Linked DNA regions of Tamandua tetradactyla. The protein of the gene in region 2 purifies or fractionates together with the protein of the main gene of each other region. This does not show direct contact. Links are inferred from orthologs where the notes say so. Each region holds a gene or a part of one and is shown on either strand. Other genes may lie near its edges.

What was found. The genes of interacting proteins can lie anywhere in the genome.
Region 1: the proteins of FOSL2 (region 2) and ATF7 purify together in Homo sapiens (affinity purification with mass spectrometry; 3 studies listed by BioGRID and IntAct, counting the BioPlex papers as one, with this or other methods). This does not show direct contact. The link is inferred for Tamandua tetradactyla from reciprocal best matches to the Homo sapiens genes FOSL2 and ATF7.

Annotation. Positions count from the first base shown.
Region 1 is NC_135333.1:115,066,721-115,074,154, reverse strand, and holds the start of ATF7 (cyclic AMP-dependent transcription factor ATF-7), read left to right. Parts: upstream 1-4,422; 5' UTR 4,423-4,588; coding exon 4,589-4,714; exon of another isoform or gene 4,715-4,779; coding exon of another isoform or gene 4,780-4,818; intron 4,819-7,434. UniProt on the Homo sapiens protein: Stress-responsive chromatin regulator that plays a role in various biological processes including innate immunological memory, adipocyte differentiation or telomerase regulation.
Region 2 is NC_135329.1:12,552,293-12,560,298, reverse strand, and holds the start of FOSL2 (fos-related antigen 2), read right to left. Parts: upstream 3,001-8,006; 5' UTR 2,898-3,000; coding exon 2,799-2,897; intron 2,444-2,798; exon of another isoform or gene 652-2,443; intron 1-651.

The DNA of each region.
Region 1 (7,434 bases), on a different chromosome or scaffold from region 2:
TTATGTATGACAAAATACTTATAAGTATATAGCAGAGAATTTAATTTCTCAATCTGTTGCATGTGCTAAATATTATGAGTATTACTAGGTGATGATCAGTTTTGTTTGAGTCATAATATGCCATTCAAAAGTTTATGGTATTCTGGGTCACGGTGGCTCAGCAGGCAAGAATGCTTGCCTGCCATGCTAGAGGACCCGGGTTCGATTCCCGGTGCCTGCCCATGTAAAAAAAATAAAAATAAAAAAAATTAAAAGTTTATGGTCTTCTTCCTGGCAACATGGGACAGAAATGCTCGAATGAGCTGAGACTCAGCACCAAGGGATTGAGAAAACCATTTTGACCAAAAGGGGGAAGAGAGAAATGAGACAAAATAAAATGTCAATGGCTGAGAGATTCCAAATAGAGTCAAGAAGCTATTCTTATGCATTAAATAGGTATCTCCTTTTTAGTTAAGGCATAACAGAGAGGCTGGAGGGAACTGCCTGAAAATGTAGAGCTGTGTTCCACTAGCCATGTTTCTTAAAGATGATTGTATAATGATATAGCTTTCCCAATGTGACTGTGTGATTGTGAAAACCTTGTGTCTGATGCTTCCTCTCTCTACCTTACGGACAGATGAGTAAAACATATGGATTAAAAATAAATAAATAATAGGGGGAACAAATGTTAAAATAAATTTAGTAGATTGAAATGTTAGTGATCAATGAAAGGGAGGGGTAAGGGGTATGGTATGTATGTTTTTTTTCTGTTTTCTTTTTATTTTTTTTTCTGAATTGATGCAAATGTTCTAAGAAATGATCATGATGATGAATATACAACTACGTGATGAAAAAAGTTTATGGTCTTTTTCTGACTTATGTTTGCAATGAATTATGCTTTGGTTTCGAGACATTCCATTAAAATAACTTCGTGGAACATGTAAATTGTTAAACTATTGCAAATGCATTCAAATTTGGTTTTTCTGTGTTCTAAGTACTCAAGTAATTTTAAGGATAAGACACTAAAAAAATGGGTTTATAATGATGGCTTTTCCACTTACTTGTTTGGCCAGGAGTAAATAAAGATGCTTTTCAAAGAATATTGGTTCTTAACTCTAACTTTTTGAATTTTTATTAATTAGCATGTTCATATACTAAAAGCTGAATGTGATCCATACCTTTATATTACTATGGACATTAAAAATTTCTCGGTGGCAGCTTGCCTAAGACTGTTTGACCTTATGTTAAGGAGTTAGATATTATAAATGTCGCAAGTGCATGATGTTTCAAGTTATTAATTTTTATTTATAAAAATAAAGTTAGTTTACTTAACATGTTCTCAGAGTTGACGATTGTTAAAAAAGCATAGAAAGGATACAATTATGAACTATTCGTTGTAGACAGTGTACTTGAAGTCTTTCAGTAGTTCCTGAAATATTTGGTTATTGAAGTTGGATCTAAGTGGGAAAAGAAAATAATGGTTACTTTTTTATTTATAAAGAATGCAACAATAAAATTAGATTTTGGCAGTCCTTAAAAAAAAAAAAAAGCAGTTGGAGCTGGTACAAGAAAGAAACAGAGAAACTGACCATAAGACTATTGAAATAATCCATTCTGAGGAGCAGAAAGAAGAAAGAATGGAAGAAAAGTGAACAGAGTCTGAGAACGTGTGGGACAACATCAAATGTACCAGTATACACTTGTGGGAATCCCAGAAGGAGAAGTGAGAAAGGGGCAGAGAGAATATTCAGAGAAACAATGGTTGAAACTCTATAAATTTAATTTAAAAAAGATAAAGATGCTCAATGGACTCCAAACAGGAAAAACCCAAATAGATTCACCTACCATTTTATAATCAAATGGTTGAATAGCAAAGAGATATATATTTGTGTGTGTGGGGGGGAGTGTATGGCTCGGGAATTGAACCCAGGTTTGATTACCAAAGATAAAAGAGGAAATTCTGGAAGCTGTTAGAGAGATGCAGCATATCTCATACAAGGAAGCCTCAATAAGTTTAAGTGTGGATTTATTAAACTTTTGCCTTGAGACAAAAAGGCAGTGGGAATACACATTTAAAGTGCTGAAAGCAAAAATACTGCCCATCAAGAATTCTGCATCCAGCAAAACTGTCTTTCAAAATTGAGGAAGTAGTTAAGACATTCCCAGATAGACAAAATCTGAGGGATTTTTATCACTAGACTGACCCTACAAGAAATGCTAAAGGAAGTTCTTTAGGCCGAAAAGAAAGGACACTAGACAATTGACTGAAGCCATATGAAGAAATAAAGATTTCTGGTAAAGATATTACATGGATAAATATAAATACTAGTTACAATTGTATTTTGTTCTGCAATTCCACTTTTATTTTCTACTGGATCTAGAAGGCAAATGCATAAAATGTAATGATAACTGAGTAATCTTAAACTCATAATGCATGAAGACGGAATTTGTGACAAGAAAAGATGGGAAAACAGAGGGGTCGAGAATATGACTTAGGTATGCTATTGGAGTTAAATTAGTATCAAAAGAAACAAGATTAGTATAGATTTAGAATGCTAAATTTAAGCCCCATAGTAACCACAAAGAAAATATCAGAGAATATGCAAATGTCTGCAGAGACAGAAAGTAGGGTACGTGTTTCCAGGGGTGAGGGTGGGGTAGAGGCAACGGGGAATTGATGCAAAATGGTGTAGAGTTCTGTTTGGGGTAAAAGGAAGGTTATAGTAATGGATGGTGCTGAGGATATTGCAACACTGTGAATGTGATTAATCCCACTGAATGGAATGCTTGGGAGGAGTTAGGAGGAGGAGATTTAATATTGTACATATGTTCCCACAATTTAAAAAGAAAGAAAAACTAAAGAGATAATGACAATTAACTGCTATTTGGGAGAAAACACCTGCATTCTTACCACCCAGATAGTCTGAGGATAGAGGAGATCCTAGACAGGAAGTTAAAGAACCTGAGTAACATAAAGCTGCAAAAGGAAGTTACCTGAGGGAGCAGAGATTGCATAGAGATTTGGAGTGAACTCTCCTTATAATTTATGATGAATTTTGAATACAGCTTTTGCTTCCCCTCAATGTTTTAAATGTTACTTCCTCAAAGAGGCCTTCTCACCATACCAAATATAAAGCTAATCGCTCACTCCTGGTTGCTTTTTCTCTCATTATCCTAGAACCCTGAAGCACTCATCAGTATTTGAAATATTTGTCTTTATTGGCTAATAAATCCCACCAGAGCAAGGACTTGGTCTTTCTATTCTTATGCCTGTAACAGTGCCTTACACAAATTAGAGCCTGTTAAGTATTTTTAAAAAAACTTTCTAAGTAATAAATATAGCTTGCCTTTTTATCCCCAATCAGTTTTCATATACATTATCTTAATCATTACAGCTCTGTGAGTAAAATGGGATTGCTAGCCCCAAGGTACAAAGGCTGAAAGAATCATCTCATCCAAGGCCATAGGGCTGGCAAATGATAGAAAAGGGATTGCTTTTGCCAATATATCCACCCAAGGGTAAGGGTATGTCAAACTACTTTGCCATTCATTCTGTGGGGTATATTTTTGCTTTCTTGCTAATGTCTACCAATGCACAATAATTTTACATTTTGATGATCAATTATCTATTTAAAAAATTACTGTGCCATTGAGGAAGTGATGATTCTGGAGAATAGTAGAAGCAACCTGCACTTTTTTCAAAAAGTCTCCAGTTTTTGCGGTTGAACCCTAGCTACCCCAGGCGCCCTCCACCCCCCACCCCCGCACCTCCCGCCTCCCGGGACGGTCCCCAATACAGTCAAACACACACACAGCAGAGATCAGGGCCATAGCCATAGTTCTCGAAGTGAAAAGTGCAACTACTCGCCTCTTTGAGACCTGCCTCGGTGCCCCCTTCGCATTTTTTTTAAAAACAGCTTTTTCGAGGTATGTCTCGACATATACATATATATATATATATATATATATATATATATAAAACATTCGACATATGTTTTTTAAAGTGCGCTCTTTTGAGATAATTTCATTTCCTAGAGAATTTGCTTCACCTTTTGGATCTCCACCACTCTAGGAGAAATTCCCTTTCCTTCTTTTCCCTCCTACATTCCGCAGCCAAACACCTGTGACCCGCGTGTGTCTCAACAGCTCTGCTTCCCGCCCCAGCCCTTTTCACAGTAAACCCAGCCTCTTCCTTTCCCGAGTCCCGCCTCTCTGCCCCTTTTCAACTCCACCCCTTATGGATCTCGCCCTTCCCCCTGACTTCTCGCGAGGGGCGAGCGCGCCTAGCCGGACGAGAGGAAAGTATCTGCACCGCTGAGGGGGGAAAGAAGGAGCTGGAGACAGTTTGTGGGACCCAACGCGGGCTGGTGGGAGGTGACGGAGCTATTAGCCGGTGAGTCCTGTTAACACTAGTTAGTCCATGGTCTGACAGGAGTCTTCCTTTCAACTCTGGCTTGTCCCAGTGTCCCAGGCCAGGATCTCCCCTCCCAGTCTGTTAGACTCGGGCGCTGAGGCGGTGGCCGGGCCCTGTCTGAGGAAGAGGGTGGGGAATGAACCAAAGTCGGCCAATAAGAGAAAAGGAAGTTATGATTGGCGGAGGTGAGCCCTAATGGGAGGCCGTCTTTACATTGCGGAGTGCCGCCCCTTTTCTCTCCTTTCTCCCGCCCCCTTCCTTGGTCGGGGGGCGGGCGGGGAGAGGCGGAGCCAGAGGCCTGAAGTGTGGGGAGAACTTGGGGTAAGTAGCCCCGGGGGGCCCAGGGCGTGGCAAGGAGAGGGGAGTTGAATCCTGAGGGAGTGGTAATGGAAGACTCTTGGAATGGAGGCGACTGGGAGAAAGGGGTGAGATACTGAACACTAACTAGGTTAAGGCTCAGAGCTTCTCAAAGCGAGGTTAGGGGCTTGCCATTGGGAAAGACAGGGGTTGATAGGTAGGAGGTGGGGATGAGTAGGAATCTTGATCAGGTGAAAACATGGCATTAAGATTGGCTGGAAAAATAGAGTAAAATATTTGGAAATGAGAGTCATGACATGTCGATCAAATTAAGAAAAAGGCTATCAGCCATGTTATCAGTGAGAAAGTATGGATTTGAGAAAATTAAGTGTGATTTTAATTTAGGAAGACTAAACAGGGGTGGGCTGAGTAGTCAAAAGGCATAGCTGTTGGAAGGGTATGAAAGTCAGGAGGAATAGGGGAGGTGGGTGGAAAGGAGAGGCTGTTAAATACAGTTCTTTAGGCTAGGTAGCAGAAAATGGTTGGGATATTGATTTACGGCTTCTAATGTGTATGGGACCCAGATGAGAGGCCAGCCTGCAGGAAAGCAGGGATGAGGGTAGAGAAGAAGAAAAACACTTTCATCACTTCTGCTCTGATTTCCTTTCTCTCTTCCTCTTGCCACATTTCACCTCCTAAACACAGGGATATGGGTTGGGACTTAAGCGGTCCAAGATGGAGCCCCATAGGGACTTATGTGTTGCTCTGAATTGCTTGTTATGTTCTCTGACTGGGATGTTTACTACCCAGGGCGCCTCCTACCTAGATTCCCGCTTTGCTACTTTCGTAACTAAAAGTTTGTTTTCTCCTTAACAGCGGATGTCATACTATCTCTGAGAGTCCTGTTATATGTGAGTGTAGGTTTGTGGGTGTGCAGCGTTTTCTCAGCAAGCTCACTTCTATGCTTAGAATTTTTGCAGTTGTGTAAGTAATTCTTGGAGAGACATCAGTCCTTATAGACATAAGCACAGAAAAATGTTTTGTTAGATGTGTCTTACCCACACACATTTTTGTATTTTTGTTAGATGTTTCTTACCCACACACATTTTTGAAGTTGTTCAGTGGATGGTTATGAAATTAGTATTGGTTAGCTTATATTTTTTGAAAAATATTTAAATAAAATAGACATTTCAGGAAAGTGAAAAATTTTCAGTTTCTTTCTTTGTATCGAGACTCAGAAGCTAAAGATATAATATTTTAGGACCAAGGTTGGGGAACTCAAATTCAGTTTGTACTTAAACGGAGGATGTAAGGTAAGTTGATGCTATTGCGAAATGTAACATGTCTGTAAGAAAAGAAGCTAAAGAAAAGTTTGGCAGCTGTACTAAGTAGTCTTACCAGTTTGTTCTTAATTCTGTACAACAAAGGGACAGGTTTTTTGCCTTTTGTTTGATAATTGTGTATCATTTAATAATGAATTGGAATAATACCACCAGCTAGTTAATAACTTCTTTACTATTGCATAGAATTTTTTTACATTAGTTTTTCTTCTCTTTTTGCTTTTGAGAAGCAAAAAATGTCTGACGTACCCGTAGAGAGAAACCAGGGTATGTAATTCTGTGTTCAGCTTTGGTTTCCAGCAACCATTTAAAGCTTTCTTCCAGGACCAGGAAGTTGCCCCTGCAGTTCATTGAGACCAATTAATTAATGACTTTTAGCATTACTTACTGAATTGGTTTCCAGTATTTCACTTTAAGAGCATTGGACATTCAAAACATTTTACAGTTTGCATGGCAGCAATGCAAAAAAATATCCAATGAAAGAGCAGTTTCTTGTTTTGTTATTCCACCCTAGAACTTGTTATGACTTTAACTTGGATACTATTTAATCCAAGACTTCCGCCCCCCCCACTAGTGTCACCAACTAGCAGAAAGATAGAGAATAATAACTGCTCATCTTTCAATCTGTGGATCAAAATTTACACCCTGTGGTTGTTTTGGAGTTGTAATTTTAAGCACCTTTATTTATATGCCCTTTAAATGTTAATAGCTACCTTTATTGTATCTCTTTACTCTTCCCACTTCCCACCCAAAATGAAAATTGTTTTTTAGCCAATTCTTAAGCTGTTACTTTACGTAAAGTAGTGTCTCTGGCTGTACCTGAACACAGCTGCTCTGAAGTTCTCACAAGTTCCCGTTTTGTGCCTGTCAAGTTTTCTCCAGGCTTCAGTGATGAGAGGGAGTTAGGGTTACAGCAGTGTCCTATGGGGTGTGATAAGGAGGAGCCTTCTCCTTGCAGGGAAGTTCTAGGTGGAGCAAATTGCACAGCCATGTAAATGTCTAATAAAAACTGCTCTCTTCTTGAGACTAGTTGACAGGATGGCATGTAATTGTTCCTTATCACATGATAAAGGTATTAAAGTTAAGGTAGGGATGTTGCTTCATGGAGGAAAACTAATGCAACATTTATTAAAAAAGAAAAAGCTTTGATTTCTTTTGGTGGTTTCTCTGAAATTGGTACTATGGTTTTAGAGTTCATGAAAAAGTCTTCAATCTTTTTAGAAACCTGTTAAAGAAAATAGTTTTTAAGCTTCCCTGACACGTACTCATTTGCAAATATTGCCTTCCCCTAAGAGACTAATTCAGTCTATTTTTTAGTTTGGAATCAAGTATATTCACAAACGTGAAAATACATCGTATTTGGAACCCTTTATGGGTGGACTTTTGAATGCTGTAAGGAAGAGG
Region 2 (8,006 bases):
CTCCTTGATTCAATAAGGGAAATATCCTCCTTGATTTATTTTCACAAGTTATCTGAGGAAGAGACAAATGGGAGGCCTTGGAAAAATTCTGCGTTTTGTTTCTGGTTTGCTTTTTTACAAAAAGGGGGCCCAGCTGATGAAAACAAGTTATGAAATGACCTATGTTTGTGTAACTGGCTGGATTGCGTAACGCCCAGAGCCTGAGACCGTAATAGCCAAGTGAGCAGGCGGTGCGTGTATCTAGGACGTGTTTTCCTAGGAAAGCTAGGAGAGAGAAGACAACAACATCAAGAGAAAGAAAAAAAATAAATCAATCCAGGAGGGGGAGATGTCTGCACCTATCACGGCCAAAACAAAATCACCAACGATCAAACTTTGAGATTAAAACTATAACTGGAACAGGAAATATTTTTCATGCTTCGAGTTCCAGCCATATTCAAGAGCAGACGCTTTTGAGATGAGTTATCTAGCCCCTCCAAACGTCACTGGAACTCACGGACAGTATGTTACGATCGAACTTTATGAAGCTGGAGAGGAGAGGAAAGGAAAGCTCTGGGTTGAATAAACAACAATAAAACTCACCAGAAATATTGTTCCCCTCCCCCCGGAAAATAGAATGTTCCCTTCCCCAAGAAAAAACCAGGGTCTTACATGGATGAGTCTTCTGAGAAGCCATAGAGGAGGAAAGCTCAGCCACTCTCTGCCATGACAGTCTCCGGGTTGAGGAAGCAGAGGCACATAAAGTGATTACAGGTTTTATCTGGTATGTAATAAAGTTACCTTGAGCCTGAGATTGGGTGGAGTCACAGCACAGACTTGTGAAATAACAAACGCGTCTCAGGTCAGCTTTGCTCAAACTTGGAGAGGCGATGGAAAAACCCTCCACCCCCAGGATCAGGCGGGCAGACAAACTTGTCTAAAGTGGCAGCACTTTGCCAGTCCCTCTGCTCTGGAGGCAGCCTCGCTGGCTGCCTGGTGGAAGGGGCAGGCGTACAGGCGAGAACCCCGTGCGCTGGTTATTACTAATTGCAAAATCCTCATGTGTTACAGCATGCTAGGAATTGGCCAACAGCTGTTTTTTGCTTCAGTAATGAGGCCCCATTACACTGTGCCGGAGTGAGCTCTTTTCCTTCTTCCTAGCACTGGTTTCCTGTCTGATTTTCTTCCAAATCAGGGAATTGCCTCCACTCACATCCTGGGCTCCAAGCCCCAGTGACACAGATTACTCAGTTGGGGCACTGGTGTCCAGACTTGGCTTCCCACACAGGCCCCAGGCTCTGCAGCCAGGTGGCGGGAATGGAACATTTAAATGTTCACTGTCCTGGGAACGCAGCTAAAGCAACAGGGAAGAAATCAAAAGATCCCTCTGGTGAGGGGAAGAGGAGAGGGGCGTTCCGGGGGTCAGAGGGAAGGGGTACAAATGACTTCAAGTCACTGCCTAGTGACGTTTACATTCAGTTTTAAAAACGAAAACAAAAACACCAACATGGCTGGAAAGCAGATACAATGAATCACTTTTCAGATAAGATTTCCTATTCAAACCCTCGGTCCCTTATTAACGGTGCCCCCGGCTGCACTGTCAAATGTGCAGACTCCAAACTGGGCTCTCTATGTGGATGCTTATGGGGGCAGCAGAGGAGGTAGAGGGAAGAAAAGGAAGAGCCGTTCTGGGGACTCTCCAGGTACGGCAGGTAGCCTGGTTCAGGTCTCAACAAGAGCCATATTTCCACTTTATCCCCCAACCGGCTGCACCTCTCCATGGGACGACCCCACCCCTCCTGGCTGGCTCCAAGAGGTCAAGTCCACGGCCCTCCTGGAGTCGCTCCTCCTCTACCCAACTTGCCTAAGGCTATCATAGATCCTGCTCAAGGTGGGCTTCAGGTTGTCCTGGGGCTTGAAGACTGGCTGCCAACCCCACCCAGTAGGCACCCCACCGCCGCCACCACCGCCGCCGCCACCCCAGCAGCACTTTCTGGTATTTATAGACACGCAGAGGGCACACACAATCCCTCCAGCGCAAACCAGTCCGGCTGCTTTAGAAACAAGTTGTTTTCTTCTCCCAGGACTATCCGGGAGCCTAAGCGAGGTCTCTTTCCTTCACTTCTCTCTGGGCCTCTTGCCCAGAGAACCCCCAGATTCTCAAGGCATCCCTTCCGGAGGGGGGCCATATAGGGGATGGACTCAGGGACCCGCAAGCAGACACCGAGTCACTCAGGGCTGGCCTCCTCCTGCCTGACCTTCGCACCTGGTTCCCAGGGCTGCCACCCTCACCCCCGTCCTGGATTACTTGAAAAAACCCCACCTTTTTAGAAATAAGGCTGCTGGAGAAAGCGGGGAGTGGGGAGAGGGCTTTCCCATAGGACGGGCCCCTCGCTTACTGGAGGGGCATAGATTTCCCGATTTCCTTGTCTGTCCACCACGGGGAGCGCGGGGGAGTGGAGGCGGGGAGGTGGGGGGGTGGGGGTGGCGGCGGGGGAGTAGGGGTGGGGGTGGATGTTCCCCGGGACGGGAGTAACAGGCTCCTGGGAAGGGAACCTGCAATCGCAGAATAGGAGCTAAGCTGGATGCGATGGATAAAAATGGGGTTTTCAAGCCCTCTCCCCGCTCCGATTTAAAAAAATAATAATAATAAAAGTGGGAGAACTAGGTAGGATGAGAATCCCGAACTTGGAACGGCGGGCCGCAGGTATTTCTTCGCAAAGACAAGAAAAGGAAAAGAAAGAGAAAGAGGCAGAGGCGGCGAGAGGAGGGCGGGGGGTCCGCCCGCGCCGCCAGGTGCACCAGAGGCCGGCACCTACCTGCTGGCCGCCGCCGCTGGAGTACGACTCGGCGTGCGCAGGAGAGCCGCTGCTGCCCCGGGACGAGGTGTCAAAGTTCCCGGGATAATCCTGGAACATGATCCGCGGTGGGAGCCCGAGAGGAAACAGGGTGTTTGTCTTCCCCCGCCCTCGTCGCGGCCGCGCACTGGCTGCTGCGCGCTCCCTGGCTCGCCGGCCGCGCCCCGGGGTCTGGCCTGGGCGCTCACGCTTCTCCCCCGGGGCACCCGGCGCGGGCGCGGGCGCGGAGGGCGAGGCAGCGACCTCTGCGAGGCAGGACCCCCCGAGCGCCTCTCGCCCAACTTCTCTGCGGCCCTCGAAGCGCCACGGGACCAGCCGTCCACCCGGTTCCTCCCTCTAACCAGTCTGCGCGTCCGTCGGTCCCTCCCCTGCTCGCGCCCTCCCGCCCCCGCCGGGACCGACGTCCAAATCGAAAAGTGGGAATTAAAAAAGGATGGGAGCTCCTCGAGCCCTGCCTGCCGAGTGTGGGAGCCCCAGATTGTAGAGCGATCAAAAACTAAAAATAAAAATAAAAGAAAGAGAGCGAGAGAAAAGAAAGGCTGCCCTTGGTGGAGAAACTTCTATTTCCTCCTTTTCGAAAAGGGGCCCGACCATAAACTTCCTGTGGCTAGACCCGCCGCCTGCCTTTCGGGGCTGCCGGACACTTGGCCAGCAGGAGCAAAGCAGCCCGCGCGCGTCCCGGGCCCCTGGCGCGCCGGCGGCCACGCACGCCCGTGAACTTCAAGCCCAGCCCGCGGGCGGCGAGAGACGCGGGCCCGGCTCCAGCACCAGCTCCCGGAGACACCCGCACTGCTTCCCGGCGCCCGCGCCTCGCCCGTCGCCTCGCGGGCCCTGCCTCTGCCCGCCGGCGCCTCTCCCTCGCTCTCCCCGCCGAGCGCCGCTCGCTCGGAGCCCCTGCGCTCTGCCCGAGATGAGTCACTACAGTGGCACGAGTTCAACTCCACACTCTTTATTATCCAGCCCCCGTACCATGTGGATTCACTCACGTCAACCCGACTCCACCTTGCAGGGAGGAGCGCGCCCGGAAAGGCGGGAGGGGGAGGGGGAGGGGGAGGGAGGAGGACGCGGAGGAGGAAGGGAAGCGGGAGACGGCGGGCCGCTCGGACGCCAGCTGCCTGCCCCGGAGCAAGAGAGGAAGAAGGTGGCGGCGCCTCGGCCGCGAGTCCGCGGCGCGGTCCGGGGAAGCCGAGGCACCCGGGTCCTCTCCCCACCCTGTCCTCATCCCCTCCCCACCCCCAGGCCCAGAGCCCTTGGTCTCTTCCATTGGCGCACGTTGCCAAAGATGGTCATTTGCGTTAGAGGACGTGAGTGCGGGTTTCCTCGCTCTCGGGTGACGTGGAGGGAGAGGGATTCCCTCGCCCGCTCCCGAGCGCGCCGCTCCGGCTCCCCCCTCCGCCCGGGCCGGGGCTCGGGGCCGCCGCGCTGCGCCTGAAAACTGAATCACGGCCCTGAGGAGCGAGCGGGCGGGTTTCGGGAGGCGCCACCGCGAGGCCGGGAGCCGGGCGCGCACAGCCGCTGGCAGGGAGGGCGCGGCCGTGCGCGGTGGCCCGCGCCCTCCGCGGCGCCGCCCGGTGTCCCGGCGCCCTGGGCGGGCAGGCGACCCAGGCTACCCGCGCCGCCCTGCGGCCAGGCCTTGGGGCGCGGCGCCGCGGGCCGCCGGGGTCGGGCTGCCAGCTCTCTGCCCTTGGTGGCGGGCTGCCCACTGCTGCTTTTTTTCTTTTTTTCCTTTTTTTTTTGTCCCCCAGCGCTCGGGTTAATTTGTTAGGAGTAGCCTTGAAGCCGAAATTAACCTGTCAAGACATTCCGACCGCCCTCCATACCGGACAATTAGAACGCATCTAATAGGAGGAACTGGGCAAACTGCAGGTTGTTAATTAAAAAAAGCAGAGGAGGAGGGAGGCCGGCGAGAGGGTGTGTCCCCACACAGTCTTCAGCTGTTTGGAGCGAAGTTTGGGGCGCGGGTAGTCGGGACTCCTGGGTCTTCCCGCCTTGCTGGGCGGGGCGGGGGGAGGCGCAGCGTAAGAGCCCCGGCTTTGGAGTCTGAACGTCTGACTCTGCTATTTACGTGCTGTGAGACCTTGGACGAGTCCCCGAACCTCTCTGGGTCTCAGTTTCCCACTGTAAATCGAATACGTTGGGCCAGGTGACTTTCTAAGGCCCCTGTCAGCGCTGGAGCTTCCTCAGTCCTCTGCAGAGATGATGGCGTGTGAGCGCAGAAGCACGGTTCTAGGAGTGAAGGGACGTGGGTCCTGATCCAGCCTCTGCCTTAGCCTCGGTTTACCCGACTAAGTGGCGCCTTGTGCACGCCACAGGGTCCTTGAGAGGACCTTAACAGACTGTTAAACGCTCTGCGCTCTGACCCACCACAGTTCCGCCCTCAGTTTCTTGATCTGTAAAGTGGAGGTGTTGCTAAGAAAGAAAAATAGAGGCGGGAATTCGAAGCTTTCCCGGGGCTCTATATAAAGCGCAGGCGTTTCCGGGACGGCTGGCGGCATCTGGTCGCCTTAATGGCCCCAAGATACGGTAATCCCGAACAATACTCGGGGTCATTGTTTACAATTATAAAACACATTCTGTCCTGAGCTCCATCCCCAAGGACGCGCGCAGCGAGGCGAGGCCGTCCAAAGACTCCTCGCACCTCGGCCGCCGCGCTCCACCCGGGGTCCCCAGCTCGGCGGGCCCGGGTGTGGGTGGGGCGGGTGAACGCGTGGGTGCTGGGTGTTTCTTTTGTTTTGTTGTTTTTTAAATCCCTGCGTTCTGGCCTGCCTGGGTGTTTACGCGCCTTTCCCAGCAGGACTGAGTAAATGCAGGCCTTTGACGCAAGACGGATCAGCTCTGTCCTCAGCGGCAGCAGCAAAGCGCAGAAAACTCAGAGTGGGGGTGGGGATGAGTGCAAAAGAAGAAATCGTGATACGTTTTCCCCTCGTCTCTCCGCCCCCTCCCCGTGCCCAATGCCCCCAGGCGCGGGGAAGGCAGGCCACGAGGGCCTCCAGGCACCCTAGCGAGAGCTTGGGGGGCTGCGAGGGGAGGAGCGGCGGGTGCGCCCGGGGCCCTCCCCCGCGCAGCCGCGTGTCGGAGCGGCGGGAACAGACGCACTTTTGGTTTTAGTTTGAGCGGCAGCGGCAGCCCGGCCCTCCCCCACCCCGCGCTCGAAAATCCGGGTGCCTCTGGGTCTCTCCCACACGATCCTTCCAGTAACGCCGGGTGGGGAAAAGGAGGGGGGAAGGGGAGCGGGAGCGTCCACCGTGGCCTCCGCGGTCCCGGGCGCGCCCATGCCTCGGTAGGCGCCGCTGGGTGCAGGCGGGCGAGCGCATCCTCGCGCCCTCGCCCGCCCCCGCCTTGCCCGCACCCTCGGCCCTTTCCTTTCTTGTGGGTTCCCGTAAAGCCCAGCAGCCCCGAGACGTCTGCAGAGCATCATGGAATCTGTGCTGATGCAAGTAGGCAGCCATCTCCTTGGTGCACCCCCGGCCTGCCTCAGAGCGCTTTGATCCCGCCTTCCCCTGCTCCACAGCCTGCGCTGGCTCCCACCGCCCGCCGGGAGGTCTGCTATCCTCCCGCTGCGGTCCTCCGACGCGCAGAGCTGCGTCCTGCCCCTGTGGCAGGACTGACCGCGCGAACCAGTGGGTTCCTCAGCCGGACTGTCTATGCCAATCGGAGCATTTCGTCTGCAAGCCCTGCTTTCTGCGCCCTCCGACGGGAACCATTGCAGGATCGCCCGGTCAGAAAGAGGCCCTCGTGGAGGTCCCCCCCCCCCCCCCGCCGCCTGGAATAACAAGGAAGATAGAGCCCGACATTTATTGTGCATTCACCAAGAGGCAGACAGCACGTGGAATGTTGTAGAGGGATTGTCTGTTGTAGAGGGATTGTCTGATGTAGTGCTCACCCAGCCATGGGAGGTGGGCATCATTTCCCAGTTGCAGAGGGAGAAAGGGACATTAAGCAGCTTGTGCAGGGAAACTGGTTGTAGCAGGTTAGTGACCCAGTCGGAAGCCCAGCTGGGCCTCTCGGGCCCAGGCCATCCTCCTCTCACCCAGGACATGGAATGAATCCTCTGCCGCCTGCTGGGGTCTTTTCGTTTCTGTTTTATGGGTCTCCTGAAAGCATGGACTTCATCTGGTTCAGGGCTCGAGGTGCCCCTCTTAAATAAACAGTCCGGTACCATCGCTCAGTTCAAGAAGGGGGTGATGTCAAGCGAGGGAAGGGAAGGAGAGGAATGGGGGGCCACATGTGGTTTGGACCATCTTCTTGCCGCCTCGCTGGGTCTCCAGGACCAGCCGGCCACACTTTTGCCAGTTTCTTCATGTGTCCATCCAGCCCAAAGTTTGGTCCCCAAGAGTAACACCAGGAGATGACACAACTCCCAGTGTGGTGTGCGTCCGGCTCGCGGCTGCACTGGGCACACTTCTGAGTGCCACATGTTCATAAAGCCCCTTTACAGGGCATGGTCATACTTGTCCTCACCAGGACAGCCCTGCAAGGGATGTGGACAGCGGTCAGTGACTGCCAAAGAGGAGGGCAGGGGATGGCATGGCAAAGCCACTGACTGGGTTCTAGCCAGTGGGGGTCGGAGCCTGAACTGGAACTTAGCTTACCTGCCTCTAAATCCAGCCCTCTGCCCCTTACCTACACTCCAACCTCTCAAGGTTAGAAGACAATTCTGCATCTTGATTCCCTGTCCTCTATCTGTCATGCCTGACGGTGGCTGTCATCGGTTGTCTATAGTAACCGTACATTTTGGTCATGTCTTAGCATTTCTGAAAGCCAATGCGTCTTAACCAATGACTATTTAATAGAGAAGTGTTTCTGTCTGTCCACAGGTCTGCCAGGGCTCCATCAGGAAACTGGCTTCAACCCGGATGGGTCCAAGGAAAAAACCTGAATGGAGAAGCTCCTTGCAGAGATGTGGCGGGGTCCAGCCCTGGGGTTGAAAGGAAAAGGGAAGGGAACAGAAATCCTCCAGCCTACTGAGCACTGGGACCATGGGAGACAGGCTGTCCCCGGGGCGGGGGAGTGGGGCTGCCGCTGTGGAGAGCCAGAGACGCTGCTGAAGCAGGGAGGGAGGCAGGAGAAAATGCTGGACTTCTCCCCCAGGTCCTGCCAAAGCAGTCCTGCCTGCCGGGAGGGAAGGGACAACACACGGAAGGGTGGCTAGTGAAAGAGGGTGGGGTG